4 linked regions of the Nothobranchius furzeri genome follow. The protein of the gene in region 1 purifies or fractionates together with the protein of each later gene. This does not show direct contact. Links are inferred from orthologs where the notes say so. Each region holds a gene or a part of one and is shown in the gene's direction. Other genes may lie near its edges.

The links.
Region 2: the proteins of polr3glb (region 1) and crcp purify together in Homo sapiens (co-immunoprecipitation; 3 studies listed by BioGRID and IntAct, counting the BioPlex papers as one, with this or other methods). This does not show direct contact. The link is inferred for Nothobranchius furzeri from reciprocal best matches to the Homo sapiens genes POLR3GL and CRCP.
Region 3: the proteins of polr3glb (region 1) and polr3f purify together in Homo sapiens (co-immunoprecipitation; 5 studies listed by BioGRID and IntAct, counting the BioPlex papers as one, with this or other methods). This does not show direct contact. The link is inferred for Nothobranchius furzeri from reciprocal best matches to the Homo sapiens genes POLR3GL and POLR3F.
Region 4: the proteins of polr3glb (region 1) and polr3h purify together in Homo sapiens (co-immunoprecipitation; 4 studies listed by BioGRID and IntAct, counting the BioPlex papers as one, with this or other methods). This does not show direct contact. The link is inferred for Nothobranchius furzeri from reciprocal best matches to the Homo sapiens genes POLR3GL and POLR3H.

Annotation. Positions count from the first base shown.
Region 1 is NC_091745.1:58,816,437-58,820,891, forward strand, and holds the start of polr3glb (DNA-directed RNA polymerase III subunit RPC7-like), read left to right. Parts: upstream 1-1,410; 5' UTR 1,411-1,600; coding exon 1,601-1,708; intron 1,709-1,847; coding exon 1,848-1,977; intron 1,978-2,060; coding exon 2,061-2,129; intron 2,130-2,213; coding exon 2,214-2,279; intron 2,280-2,352; coding exon 2,353-2,438; intron 2,439-2,579; coding exon 2,580-2,693; intron 2,694-4,296; coding exon 4,297-4,383; 3' UTR 4,384-4,455. UniProt on the Homo sapiens protein: DNA-dependent RNA polymerase catalyzes the transcription of DNA into RNA using the four ribonucleoside triphosphates as substrates. Specific peripheric component of RNA polymerase III which synthesizes small RNAs, such as 5S rRNA and tRNAs.
Region 2 is NC_091750.1:56,805,469-56,807,926, reverse strand, and holds the end of crcp (DNA-directed RNA polymerase III subunit RPC9), read left to right. Parts: intron 1-934; coding exon 935-1,072; 3' UTR 1,073-1,951; downstream 1,952-2,458. UniProt on the Homo sapiens protein: DNA-dependent RNA polymerase catalyzes the transcription of DNA into RNA using the four ribonucleoside triphosphates as substrates.
Region 3 is NC_091746.1:29,572,802-29,575,755, reverse strand, and holds the end of polr3f (DNA-directed RNA polymerase III subunit RPC6), read left to right. Parts: intron 1-1,812; coding exon 1,813-1,920; intron 1,921-1,991; coding exon 1,992-2,183; intron 2,184-2,254; coding exon 2,255-2,332; 3' UTR 2,333-2,447; downstream 2,448-2,954. UniProt on the Homo sapiens protein: DNA-dependent RNA polymerase catalyzes the transcription of DNA into RNA using the four ribonucleoside triphosphates as substrates.
Region 4 is NC_091752.1:65,980,934-65,984,732, forward strand, and holds part of polr3h (DNA-directed RNA polymerase III subunit RPC8), read left to right. Parts: intron 1-2,485; coding exon 2,486-2,549; intron 2,550-2,659; coding exon 2,660-2,894; intron 2,895-3,799.

The DNA of each region.
Region 1 (4,455 bases):
TTTGGACATACTGGGTTAAACAATACATTATTCATGATAGGGAAACATAATACAGGGAAATGTGATTATTGTGGAGAAGACGAAACTATAGATCATGTTATATTACACTGTCACTAAGTTCACACTCTTAGTCAGATGAAAGTGAAACTGGATCTTGTTGATTTATTGAGACAGAATTCAAAAAGTGACTGTTATCAGATTTTATTTCGGTTTTTGAAAGAGATAAGGGTGTTTGGGAGACTTTGAGTCTTAACCCCCTGTTTGGTTTGGTTATGTGAGCGCTGTTCCAGACCACACTCCACACTAGTTGGTGGCGGTAATGCACCATTCATTGTTTGCCAACCACCAATAAAACACCAAAAGAAGAAGAAGAACTTAGACGGCGCGAAGCCGGATGTAAACAGACAGTTCGGTCTGGTCCAAAACAAGACGGAACCGTGGAGACGTGAATGTTCCTCAGGTTCTAACGAGATGAATTGTCGCTTTAGAGGCGAGACGACGCTTAGTGACCCCTAAAACGGAACGATCCCGGAAGAGCCGTCGCTGGACCGTGTCAGACAAAGCCAACCGGGTCACCGAGAGCTACTCGTCGTTTTGATGAACTGCGTGGGGGCGTGTATTCTCAGCCGGGTGAGATAATCTGGAGCAGAACCTATTGAAGGTCCAGTCTAGTTCAGGACCAGCCCAATGACCAGAACCCTGGCGTTCTGTATTGGTTCTGTTTGTATGGTATTATTGGACCTGGGGATTCTGGAGAGGTTAAAGGATCAATTATATAGAAAAGCTGTTATGAATCTTTGGTTTTCTCCGATAGGGGGCCATGTTGACCCAGACAACAGGAACAAGCTGGACACCAAGCTCTACCAGAACTATTGGTGGTCCGGAATGAAAGACGCTGGCTTCAAGTAGGAAGAGAATCCAACGGACGGAAGTCTGGACAAGGACTTTCTTTAGTAGGTTTCAGTTTAGCATCCTCCTCCTGCTCCAGACTTCCTGTCACACATCAGCTAACATCTCTTCGATCTCAGACGTGCATCCTCTCCATGATGCTCCACAACCTTCATCACATTTGGTCACTTGTCTCCACATCTCTGCTAACATTCAGCCTTCTTGTTCTGTCAGAATCCAGATTCAGCACCACGTCTGACCGGGCTGCAGAGGGTCTTCTTCATTGGATCTGGCAGGCTAGATGCTGATGGGTCAGCACCTATTCCCACTCACAGTCTGCCCTTACACCCCTACGACAGTCCGTCATCACCAACAAAGTCCTCAAACTGAAAACAGACACACCAAGGGCCCCCAAGAGAGGACCACTCTCTCCTGCATATCGCCAGCAATGCTGAAGAACATATCTCACACTCTCCAACTCTCCACAGTCACAGTTACCATCCGGGTGCTCCCCTAATAAAAAACAACCCACCCCGCAGACAACTGTGGCCCAGCGTTAACCGGGTCAAGACCAAAGGGTCCCTCCTCTCACAAGCGAGGGCCAGCCTATGACCACTCACCACCACTACAGGTCATAAAAATCCCTACCCACATCCGCCACAGAGGGTCCGTTCATGTTCTGGTTCTGGTCTGCTTTAGAGAGGCAATAGAGATGGCAGGTCGTGGGCGTGGCCACAGGATGATGAGTTTCAGTGTGGATGCAGTCGGCATCAGAGAATCTCTTCCTCCAACTATTCACCAGCCTACACCTGTGTTTCCAGTAAGCTCCACCCCACTACACCTGAACCCAGTCACACCTGGAGTTTAGGTCACGTGTGGCTTTATTTTGAGCAGACATTGTGTATTTATTTTTTTTGGCATCAAGTGCATTCTGGGATTTGCAGTTTAATGTTTTCCAGGTGATGGAGCAGAAGCCCCTGCCTCTAACAGGTGGAGAAGAGGCAGAGTATTTGTTGGCTCTGAAACAGGACTGCAGGGGAGCCATGAGGAGTCTTCCATGCTTTATCCAACCAGCAGTGGCACAAAGAGGTGAGACCAACAATCACCACTTAACTGCTTATCAGATGTAACTGCTCTCTTATTGTGAAGTTCTCCTCTGCACTTCCTGTCAGATGTGGAGCGATACTCAGATAAATATCACATCAGTGAACAGACTGACAGGCTGAAGGACTGGGTTGTAGGTGAGACCATGAATGCTAATATCTGTAACCACAGTAACCAAGAGAACCCAATGTGATGTGTTGATCAGGAGTAATGCTGATTAGTCGTTTCAGATTGGAAGAGATTCCCCAGAGAACTGCGAGTCCACGTCAGGAAAGCACCCGGTGATGGTCAGTAATCTGATTACTCTCAGTAATTTGAGCCAGGTTGTGTTAGCTGCTGGTAAAATGTGTTTTTGTTAAGGTGCGCTGCTCAGCTGCCGGGACAGCGGTCAGCAGATACAGAAGAAGAAGAAGAAGGTCAGAGAGGAGATCCTTCTGAAGCTGGAGGTGAGTTGGACTGGTCTGGGAAACAGGTCACAGGTAAAATAACGTATTCCAGATCTGTCAGACTCACCTGTGGAGCAGGTGTCTCAGCCACCTGCTGTCCTACCATACCGATGACGTGACCTGTGTGTGTCATACTTGCAGACGCTGGAGAAGAAGGAGGAGCAGGAGAGCTCTGAGGGGGAAGGAGAGATGGAGAAGAAGCAGGATGAGGGTGCTGAGGCTGAGGAGGATTACGATGAGGAAGAGTTTGAAGAGGTGAGGTGACACCCGGTGTGGGTGTGGCAGGGATTAAAGTTCTCCGTCGGGGTGACGGAAATCCGTCAGTTGGAATAGTCAGAAAAAAGTGCTGTCAAAATCCTCTCTCTCTCTCTCTCTCTCTCTCTCTCTCTCTCTCTCTCTCTCTCGCTCTCTCTCTCTCTCTCTCTCTCTCTCTCTCTCTCTCTCTCTCTCTCTCTCTCTCTCTGGAATGTGGTAACAAGCAAGTACGGGGGCGGTTGTGTCATCCGTCTCACTTTTGATTTGCCAGTGATAGACCGCGAGGGTAACTTTAACCGGTTTGCTGGCAGCAAGGTAAAAATAAACCTTTTCCGTGTTTTCAAGAAGAACCAACAATGCAGTTAGAAAAGCAACACAGCAAGAACATACCAAAGAGGAGCGTTTATAGACCCTTTTACTGTTTGTAAACAATATGACGTCAGCGAGAATGCTCGCGCAGCTTGGCAACAGAGAATGGCGTTGTGTCAGGCTTTATCAAGCTACGCTGCGGGGTTATCACCGGCAAATCTTGAATGTTATATTATTAAACTCACTTTAACGAATGGCAACAGACTCCCGGATCCCTGTGGCATTACGGAATGGGTGGAAGATGTAGGTGCGTGGCCAGATATCCAGTGGCCCGATATATATACGTTTTTAGTGGAGAGGCCCAGTAAGTACACACGTGAGAAGCTACGGGCATACAAATCGTTAGATGCATACAACTATGTTGTCTGTGGCCACGTACAGAAAGTAAAATATCACGACATAGACTCTGAGTTTTGCGTCTTGAAGGCAGAAGTCCTTCCTAGCCAAAGACAAGGACACAAGACTGCTATGTACGAGGCTTGGGTCATAGTAAACAAACGAGAGAACTACGTCTTCACAGCCAACTGTACCTGCATGGCAGGGTGAGTATAGCTTAGGTTTCTTTTTTTTTAGCGTGCTCAGAGTACAATCGTGTTAATTTTAGAGAAATACAGTTTATACTAATATGCAGTGGGAAAATACAGATGAATTAGAATGAAATGTTAATTAAAAAATAAATAGACTGCTTAAAAGCAAACCAGCAAGCGCAACTTACTTTATTTAATAGAACACACGTTAACCAGCTTTCTGGTGTAATCTTAGTACATAATTACCTTACCTGATATAAAATGGGCGCTACAAACTCGAGCATTTCGGATCGTGTTTTCAGTCCAGTTTTCATCAACCCTTTTGATGGCCTGCAGCCACAGACACCTCCGATTTTGTTGAAATGGATGTGCTCCCTTCGGAATTCTGTAAAGTTTCAGTCCACTACTTGGAGAGAAGCGATTCTGGCATCCATACACGCAACAACCCGACATTTTATGTGCTCAGAACTTCAAAACAAAGGGTTTAAAACACTGCTTTAGTATCGAGTGTGAATGAGGAAGCCTTCACTCTCGTTGCCAGGCTGCGCTCGCAACTTTTGATGACGTAGGTAGTAAAAGGGTCTATTGGGTACAGAATTCTGACCCGTTCTGGCTGAACAGGGCGGGGACATAGCTGGGTAGCAGGTTTAAAAAGTAACTGGTCTCACTGTGAGTACTGGTCTCTAACTGATCGGTTTGTCCTGCAGGAGACGGATTACATCATGTCCTACTTTGAGAATGGAGAGGACTTTGGAGGAGACAGTGATGACAACATGGACGAGGCTATTTACTGAAATTTCGTCCTGCTACTGGACTGCTGGTTCTGGATCTTAGGAGACCAGTCAGACATGGTGTTTAACTAGTTC
Region 2 (2,458 bases), on another chromosome or scaffold:
CTGTTATTGCGATAACGATATATTTACAATATATTGTGCAGCCCTAACACACACACACACACACATACACACACACACACACACACAAAACATATATACCAAGTAATGTGTCTATGGTTACATTGTGATTTCTTAGTAACTATTCTATTTGCTGAGAGACAAACTTTATTGTATTTATCCTAGTTAATCTATAATTAAACGGGTAAACTAGTAGTAGCACATTCAATGTCAAAGAAAGTAAAATGTTATTATCAGGAGAGGGAGAATGTTTAAGTGGTTAGCAGCGGTGTTTAAGCCGATATTTTTTGCTTCTTTAATTATACCAGATATTCTCAAATCGTTGCTCCAATTTGACTCCATACATACACAACTTGCTTTATTAGTAATGTTAAGTAAAGACAGGTGTAGCTTTTTTGTAAATTACTTAGAAATTCTAATAAGTCTGTGATAAATTGAGTTGCCTTTGCTGTGGTTATGAGGTTTTGGGGTGTTTTTTTTCCTTCTTTAAAATATTGAAAATTATATTAAAAACAATATTGTTTTAATCTTTCCTGAGAATAGGGCATCTTTAAAACACTCTTCTGATATTTTTATGTTATTTTATTTGTGTTTAATAATTCTTTTATCTAAATGTTTCACCCCATTTAAAATCCCATGGGTGTGCAGATGTTTAAACATGACTTCTGTTGGTTTTTTGCTAAGCAGGAAACCACAGAAAAGCTGGATTATGGTATTTCTGTGTCACTAGTGAGAATTCAAACAATAATGCAGCCATGAACCATCTGATTCTTCTCCAATGACATCAACAGAGTTTATTGGAAGGTTTTTCCGCGAGAAATCCAGAAGACGGACCCAGATCTTTTAAGCTGATGGATCAACATTTCCTTGTGTTCTATTTCTATAATGTGGCCTTCGTTGCCCTCTCTCTGTGTAGATGGTGGAGGAAAGTGAAGAGCGTTTGTCAGAGGAGCAGATTGAGGAGCTCATCCAGACCATCTCAGACCACCTGCCCGGTGATCCGGAGCAGGAAAAGGCAGCTGCAGAGACGGATGAAGGTGGTGGACAGTCATGACTCAGGGACGGGTTTAAAATCGGACTGTATGTGGTGGTGAGGAGGCCAAAATATTGTAGAACTGGGAAAAGATGCCTTTCAAGAGCACAAATGGTGTGGAGCACCTGACCACAGAGAAAAGGGCATAATTATTCCTGTTGATGTAGAGGCAGTCACCTGTTTAACTGCTATGTTAAACGGAAAGCTGCTTAAAAGTCCTAAATTATGTGTTTTTGAATCATAACAGTAAACATGGATGTCCAAATCCACCTTTCATTAGTCGTATCCTTAGTAGATTATAGACTTGGGCATTTCATTTTATCTTTCATTAGCTAGTTGAATGCAACTCTGAAGCATTTTGTTCACTTGTAAACCCAATTAGCTTTACAATTTCCTGTAAGACAACATATTTTTCTTCCCGCTGAGCTTTGAACAACTCGTTTTTGGTGCAGCTGTGTCACAGCAGGGGAAGGATGTGTTGGTTTGGACCTTTTCTGTTTTTGGCTTCCTGTTGGTTCATCACTGTAATTTCCGGTGCTTTCTGGGCACCTCGCAGAGTCAGGAAAGTAAAGCAATGTGACATTATTGGGGACTGGTTTTGGACTCGCCTGTGCACCAAATGCATTTGATGTTGGATTCAGCTGTCAATTTTTTTCCCTGTGGTTCAACATTAAAACAGTGAATGCAGGCTCTGCTGCTGCAGAAGACCACTGCATAAATGTGTCTGAGTGGGGTTAATAGATCCCCTGCAGCTATGTTTTCTTTCCCAAACTTCGTCACTGCACTAACACGCAGCTCAGAGATGTATCGACACACTCTTCTATTGGCAGTGTCCATCCACTCTTTTTTTTTCACAAACAACTTGAAACAAAAAAACTCACAATAAACGTTTTGTAACTATTCAGAGAAAGTATGATTTTGTAGTCAGTGAAAATGGCAATGATTTATCCCCACTTTCATACATTCAAATGTATTTAATTATGTAAGTTTCTCATTACTTATCCCTGGATCTTTGTGGGTATTTAATGTTATTGTGATTGTGTTTTGACAGCCTTACTTAAGTCTGTAGCACCTCCACACAGGCATCAATACATCAAGAGTATATCAATGTACGTTTTGAAAGAAACAAAACAAAATATGATTCTAATGAAAAGATGGGTAAATTAAATGTGGCGGCTTTAAGATCGACTCAATCCCACACTGTGATTAAATTTCCCCGGTGGGCTTTTACTGAAAGCATACCAATCGATTTGGTAAAGTAATTTTAGCCTCAAGAGGAGAGAAAACGCTTGTTGAAGTAGCGGAAATGCCCCTTTAACGTTTCAACCAATGGGAGTCGTCCAAGCAGACTCGCCGTGCTGCGATTGACCAATCAGCGAGCAGCTTTCACCTTCTCGCTTGGCTCGT
Region 3 (2,954 bases), on another chromosome or scaffold:
AGAGGTACCCTCAGCTGGTACTAGTGATGGAAGTTCCAGCTCTTTTTAGAGAGCCGGTTCTTTTGGCTCAGCTCACCAAAAAGAGCCGGCTCTTTCGGCTCCCAAGTGGCTCCTCAGATTTTCTGTTGCGTGGAGTACATTTATAACCAAAATGATGATAAACTATATGTAAAATAATTTACTAATGTAAAAAAAGCAATATATCAAATATTTATCATTTCTATGGATTTAATAACTGAACACTTTAAGAAATCTCCACTTTCCGACTGCTGGCGCTCATTTTCTCACCGTCTTCGTCGCGCTCTCCCCTCTCTCTCTCTCTCTCTCTGTCTCTGTCTCTGTCTCTCTCTCTCTCTCTCTCTGTCTCTGTCTCTGTCTCTCTCTCTCTGTCTCTCTCTCTCTCTCTCTCTCTCTCACCTTTTTCCTCCTCCTCATTCCCTCTCGTCTCCCTCCACCTGCATGTGCTCTGCTGTGTGTCTGAGTCTGATCCTCCCTCTTCCCCGCCCCTACTGCTCTGTGTGTGGACAGTCTGGACACACAGTTACACATGCTGACCAATCGCCTGTAGCTTTCACCAAAGCAAGAGGGAAGGGGGGGGGGGGGGCACGGCTCCCAATGATGAGCCGGCTCTTAGGGCCGGTTCGTTCGCGACCGACACATCACTAGCTGGTACCATATGATGTCACAATGTTGTTGTGAGCCTGTGTGTGTGTGTATTAGTTAGCGGCTCCGCCCTCTCGGTCTGCTAGGCAACAGCATTTGTTGCATTTTTCAAACAGGAAGTGGGAGTGGAGTTAGACTCTGGTAGGGGGTGACTTGCTCTTTAAGTTAAACTAAATGAAGCCTTTTAATGATCTTGGCTTAGCAGCAGCATCATAGCAACAAACCTCTCATCCCCGAGACTGAACTTTGGGTATCCGTGGATGTGCCTGACTTTAAACCGGCCTGAAGGATCTCTCTCTCTCTCTCTCTCTCTCTCTCTCTCTCTCTCTCTCTCTCTCTCTCTCTCTCTCTCTCTCTCTCTCTCTCTCTCTCTCTCTCTCTCTCTCTCTCTCTCTCTCTCTCTCTCTCTCTCTCTCTCTCTCTCTCTCTCTCTCTCTCTCTCTCTCTCTCTCTCTCGTCGTCTTCACCTACTCCTTTGGGGTGAACTGAACTCAGTTATGGACCCTCTACAGCTCTGTGGTAGCGTCTGTTGTCCTTTTATGAGGTTTATTATGTTTGGTGGAAGTGTAGAGAGGGTCAAGGGGACATTAATCAAGCTGGTCAAGAGGGAAAGGGCAGTCCAGCACTGTCCCTTGAGGTGTGTGGAGCAGGTTTGAACCCCACCCCCAGACAGCGGGACAGACAGACAACTGAATTGTCCTCTTACTCTGTTTTTGTTATGAGAGCGCTGGAACAGCCGTGTGGTAATAAAAGTTTATTCAGGTCATTACGGACCACCAGAGGGCAGCAGAGATCTCCCTCCTGAAGGTCCACTGACCTGACCTCATGTCTCTGAGCTCAGTTCCTTAGTAAGGCATTATGGGATGTAAGGATCTTATCTTTTAAAAGAGGTCTTAAAGAAACGATGGAAGCTCTTTAACCGTGAAGCTTCAGCCAGCCTCCATCAATACTCCTTTGAGGTTCTTCTGGGTCATTTTGTTCTGTTGGGGAACCCTCCCGACGACAACAACTGTTGGACCAGAACCTGATAGTTCTGCCAAATGACCAAATGATCGGATCAGAACCCATCCTCTGGGTTGGTCTGGATGATGCTGTTCAGGAACAGGTGGGTTCTGGTCATGTGACCGTCGTGGTGTTCCGTGTGTTAAGGCTGACGCAGCGAGGGACAGCAATCAGAGCCCGATGGTTCAGCGGAACAGCTCCTTCGCCACCTCTCATGAAGTGTGGAAGTACATCTGCGAGCTTGGAATTAGTAAGGTGACTGCTAACGTCCACCAATCACACATCACGCTCGCTGTAGTCCGTGTGTCTGACAGGTGTGTGTCCAGGTGGATCTGTCCATGGACGACATCGAGACCATTCTGAACACGCTCATCTATGACGGGAAGGTGGAGATGACCGTGATTGCCGCCAAGGAGGGGACGGTGGGCAGCGTGGACGGGCAGATGAAGCTGTACAGGGGCGTGAACCCCATCCTGCAGCCCACCGGCCTCGTCAAGACGCCCTGCGGACTCTGCCCGGTAACCACACTCATTAACATGGCTGCATCCTGCTCGTGGACGCGCCTGAACTCACCTGATCCTGTCTGCAGGTGTTTGATGACTGTCATGAGGGAGGGGAAATCTCTCCGTCCAGCTGCATCTACATGACCGAGTGGTTGGACTTCTGATGGCTATTCGGCCCACTTCTTTTCTCTGTGAGGAAACTTCATTCAGCCTGCTGTGATCCACAGTTTTTCTTTTTTTTATTTATCAGTCTTAATAAAGCAGCTCGTGTGAACCGTTTGATGCTGAGATGAGTTATTGTTCAGTCTGGTGTAAAATCTGCAGGAATCTTGGACTGTCTCTCTGACAAATGAAGATGGATGAAATCCCACCATCTCCAACTCCACCTCTCTAAAACTGAACTACTTGTCATCCCAGTGAAACCATCCATACAGCACAATATCTCAATCCAAAATCTATATCTGGCGCCTTCAAAGGCAGTTCGAAATCTGGGTGTTGTGATTGATGAACACCTGACCTTTAAAGATCATGTTGCCTCTGTTGCTCGTTCATGCCGCTTTGTGCTGTATAACATACGAAAGATCAGACCATACCTAACACAACATGCCACCCAGCTCCTGGTGCAATCTACCGTCATCTCCCGCCTCCATTACTGCAACGCCCTTCTAACTGGTCTTCCAGGCTGCACTGTGAGACCTCTTCAAATGGTCCAGAACGCAGCGGCGCGTCTGGTCTTCAATCAGCCTAAAAGAGCACACGTCACCCCTCTGTTCATTGAGCTCCACT
Region 4 (3,799 bases), on another chromosome or scaffold:
ACTGATCTCAGGCTCAGGGGGAGAGAGGTCCAGAGTCTGGGGGCCACAGCAGCAAATGATCTGTCACCTTTGGTCTTTAGCCTGGTGGTGCACAACCAGTAGGCTTTGATCACTGGACCTCAGGGACCTGCTGGGGGTGTAGGGACTAAGAAGATCACCAATGTAAGATGGTGCTTGTCCATGTAAGGCCCTATAGACCAGAACCAGGATCTTGAAATGAACCCTGAAGTTGACTGGCAGCCAGTGAAGCTGGAGGAGAAGCGGGGTGATGTGGGTGTGTTTGGAGGACTTGGTCAGAAGCCGAGCACAGGCATTCTGAACCACCTGTAGACGGTTCAGGGAGGTTCTGCTCAGACACGTGAAAAGAGAGTTACAGTAGTCTAAGCGTGAGGAGATGAAGGTGTGGAGAACTGTCTCAAGTTCAGAGCGGGACAGAATGGGACTCAGCTTAGCAATGTTCCTGAGATGGACGAAGAAAGAGCGAACAAGAGAACTGACATGAGAATCCAGGGTGAGAGCCGCTGCTCCTTCAGCAGCAACTATTTCTTGCATGTGAGGGGTGGATCCAGTCCTCCAGACAAACTCCTCCCTGCTTCCTTCTTTTTCACCTCACAAGTAACTTTTTAACTAGCAGATCAAATTGATCTATTGACCACAAAAAAAGCGGAGTGAGCGCCGCGCTGCACGGCTGCGCCAGTGACGAGCGCTGCGGCGCGAGCGCGTCCACACATCATGCTCAAATACAGACAGAACTTACCAGAGAGAAAATGAACGGACACAAACGACTGTGTGTTAATTATATATTTTTTGGTGAGGCCCTTTAGAAACTTAGAAAATGTTACTGTGGCCGTGTGCAGAACACACCTGGAGTCCATAAATAATCAGCGGTCTGCCTGCCGCTCTGCATCTCTGCCCCAAAAGAATCCCCGCTACTCTGAGTCCATGTAAATAATATAATATAGGTACAAACTGGATCTCTTTTGTGCTCCTTCTGGGTGTGTGAGTTAAGGGCATCAGGTGAGCCTGACAACCATTAAGGAGAACCAAGTTGCTCTCCTGTAATTTGAAGCCAGTATCCAACTCCGGATCGGGGCTTGGATCGGGAAGTAAAGCCCGAGTCCTGATCAGTCTGAAACCACGTGATCGGGGCCGATTTCCGATCATGTGATCGGATCGGGACATCCCTAGTAGAGACCCACATGGCAGCAAAAAAAAAAAAAAAAAGATGCAAAATGTGAGTTTTGCAAAATATTCCACCTTTAATATTGTGATACTTTAACATAGATGTGTGTGTTTAATATGAACACATTTGCAGGAATATAAAAAAGAAAATTATGGAAGCACTTGAAAAATAGCCATGATGGAATTTCTACACCTAGATGATTTTATCATTTATCATACAAATTAAAAAAATATATATATATATAGTGTATATATATATATATATATATATATATATATATATATATATATATATACATATATATATATATATATATATATACACACATTAAAGGATGTAAGAAAATATCGATATGGCAATATATCGTGATATTGTATTGATATTCAAAAGATGTATATCGAAAATATCGATATGGTAATATTTTGTGATATTTTATCCTGTGATTTTATATTAATATTCAAAATCCATGTATCAAATTTTTGGAAGAATTTACATGCAAATATTTGTGTATTTTCTTTTCTTTTGGTGCAATTTAAACGCAGACCGCTAGTTGGCAGCAGTGTGCAATGTGTTTTGTTTCCACCACTGAAATATAAATCCCTCTGTTATGGTTCAGATACCTCGCATTAAAAATGTTAAGTATCAGTTTGGACTAGGGCTGGGCAATAAATCGAAAATTTATCATTATCAAAATTTCTGACTCTTATCGTGATCATTTTTCCCGTGTCAATAAATTCGATAATAAAGAAATGAAAAGATGTGTAGGTTGGTAACGTTCACATCCCTTTAAGAAGCTGTACCACCTTGAGTCACGTAAAAATGTGACTCAAGTAATACGTGTGACAGCCCCATCTAGTGGACAACTTTTGTTTCTGCGCATACCTGTAGTTATCGCCAATTTATCGTTATCGAGGTGAAATTCTCAATATATTGTGACACTGATTTTAGGTCGCATCGCCCAGCCCTAGTTTGGACTGTTTATTCAATATTCCTACAAAAAATTCTGTCTAAAAAAATTGCTGATATCGTATTGTATGGCAATGTATCGTGATATGTTGTATTGTCTCCCCTATATCGTGATACTTGTCGTATTGCCAAAATTTCACCAATACACATCCCTTATATATATGGAATTTTAGTCATTGCTGCAATTATATGTTATTTTACTGTTATCCTCTGCTTTCCAGGTACGCTGTTTCTTTCATGTCTGATGCAAGAATGACAAAATATCCTTTAACAGTAAACGCTTTAACAGCTGTGTACCAGATTTCAACAGGAGCTTCTCACTCTGCTGCTTCACAGTGACCATGGGCTTCTTTGATGATATTCTCATCCCTCCTGAGTCTCTCCAGCAGCCTGCAAAGTTGTATCCAGAGTTAGAAGCACAGTGGTTTTGTTTTTACTGCATTTGCTGAGTGTGTGACTGGAGTCTTATGGATCTGGGGTTGGTTGAGCCTTCCTTAGCCGTAACTCCAGTGATGAAGCGGAGCAGGTCTGGGTCTGGGAGTACGAGACGGATGAGGGAGGGCACGACCTCTACATGGACCAAGGGGAGGAGATCCGCTTCCGGGTGGCGGATCAAGTCTTCGTGGACACGTCACCAACAGGCCCTGCTGTAGCTGCGTCTGACGCGCCGGCACAAGCGGGGCAGGCAACGGCGCCGCCAGCAGAGGCCAGCGAGGGGAAGAAGGAGGCACCGTACACTCTGATTGTAAGAATCATACAGACAAATTAAAAATCAGCTCTCGTAAAGATGATTAAACTGTGGGAGCAGTCACCATTTCAGGGTATTTGTAAACTCTTTCTGGTGCTCAGTTCATGTTTTCAGTATTTTGACTGAATTAGATTTTGATATTTTATTTGTCTTTTAAGTAAATGGGAGCTTTAACTCATTCGCTGCCAGCGTTTCTCACCGTTTTTACAGTTTTTTTTAAGCCACAGAACGTTGCGCGCTAGGATGACGTTGACGCCAAAACAACCAAAACAAAGCGGAGACTCACCTCTTACATCAGGAAGAATCCGCGCGTTTCGAGCGTTATCCGTTCTTTCATTATCTGTTGTTGAATTGTGATCGGCAGAAGCTTTTCCGGTTCGCGCCTCACTTTTTTTTTTACAGCAGCGGCCCAAAACGATCTAACACATGGATGTTCTGCTTCCTGATCACGTGACGTGTGACGTATACGGATGAAGATCCGCTTTAGAGCTGAGGTGTTTGTTCTCACGGTGTGGGGGCTCGTCCGATGCCCACACAGTAAAAACATGCAAATGACGAATTTACTCGTCATTGGCAGTGAATAGGTTAAACATCTGGTTATGAGAAACCCTAGCCTGGGAAGCCATCCTCTATAGGTGAATATATAGTCTGGACACGGCCCGTTGACGGCTCTCAGTAGTGGGCCTGGGTCTACGGTTTTCTTCCAGACTGTCTCTGCATGCTATTGGATATCAAACAACATGACGCACTCGCCGCTACCGATGTAAGTCAACGGGGCTTTCTGCCATACTCGTCCAGGGTATCCGCAGGTCTTAAATTAGCTTTTCCAAATTTAAGGCCTTAAAAATTACAAATAATACTTAAATACATTTTCCAGAGGTCTTAAATTTTCAAAGACCCAA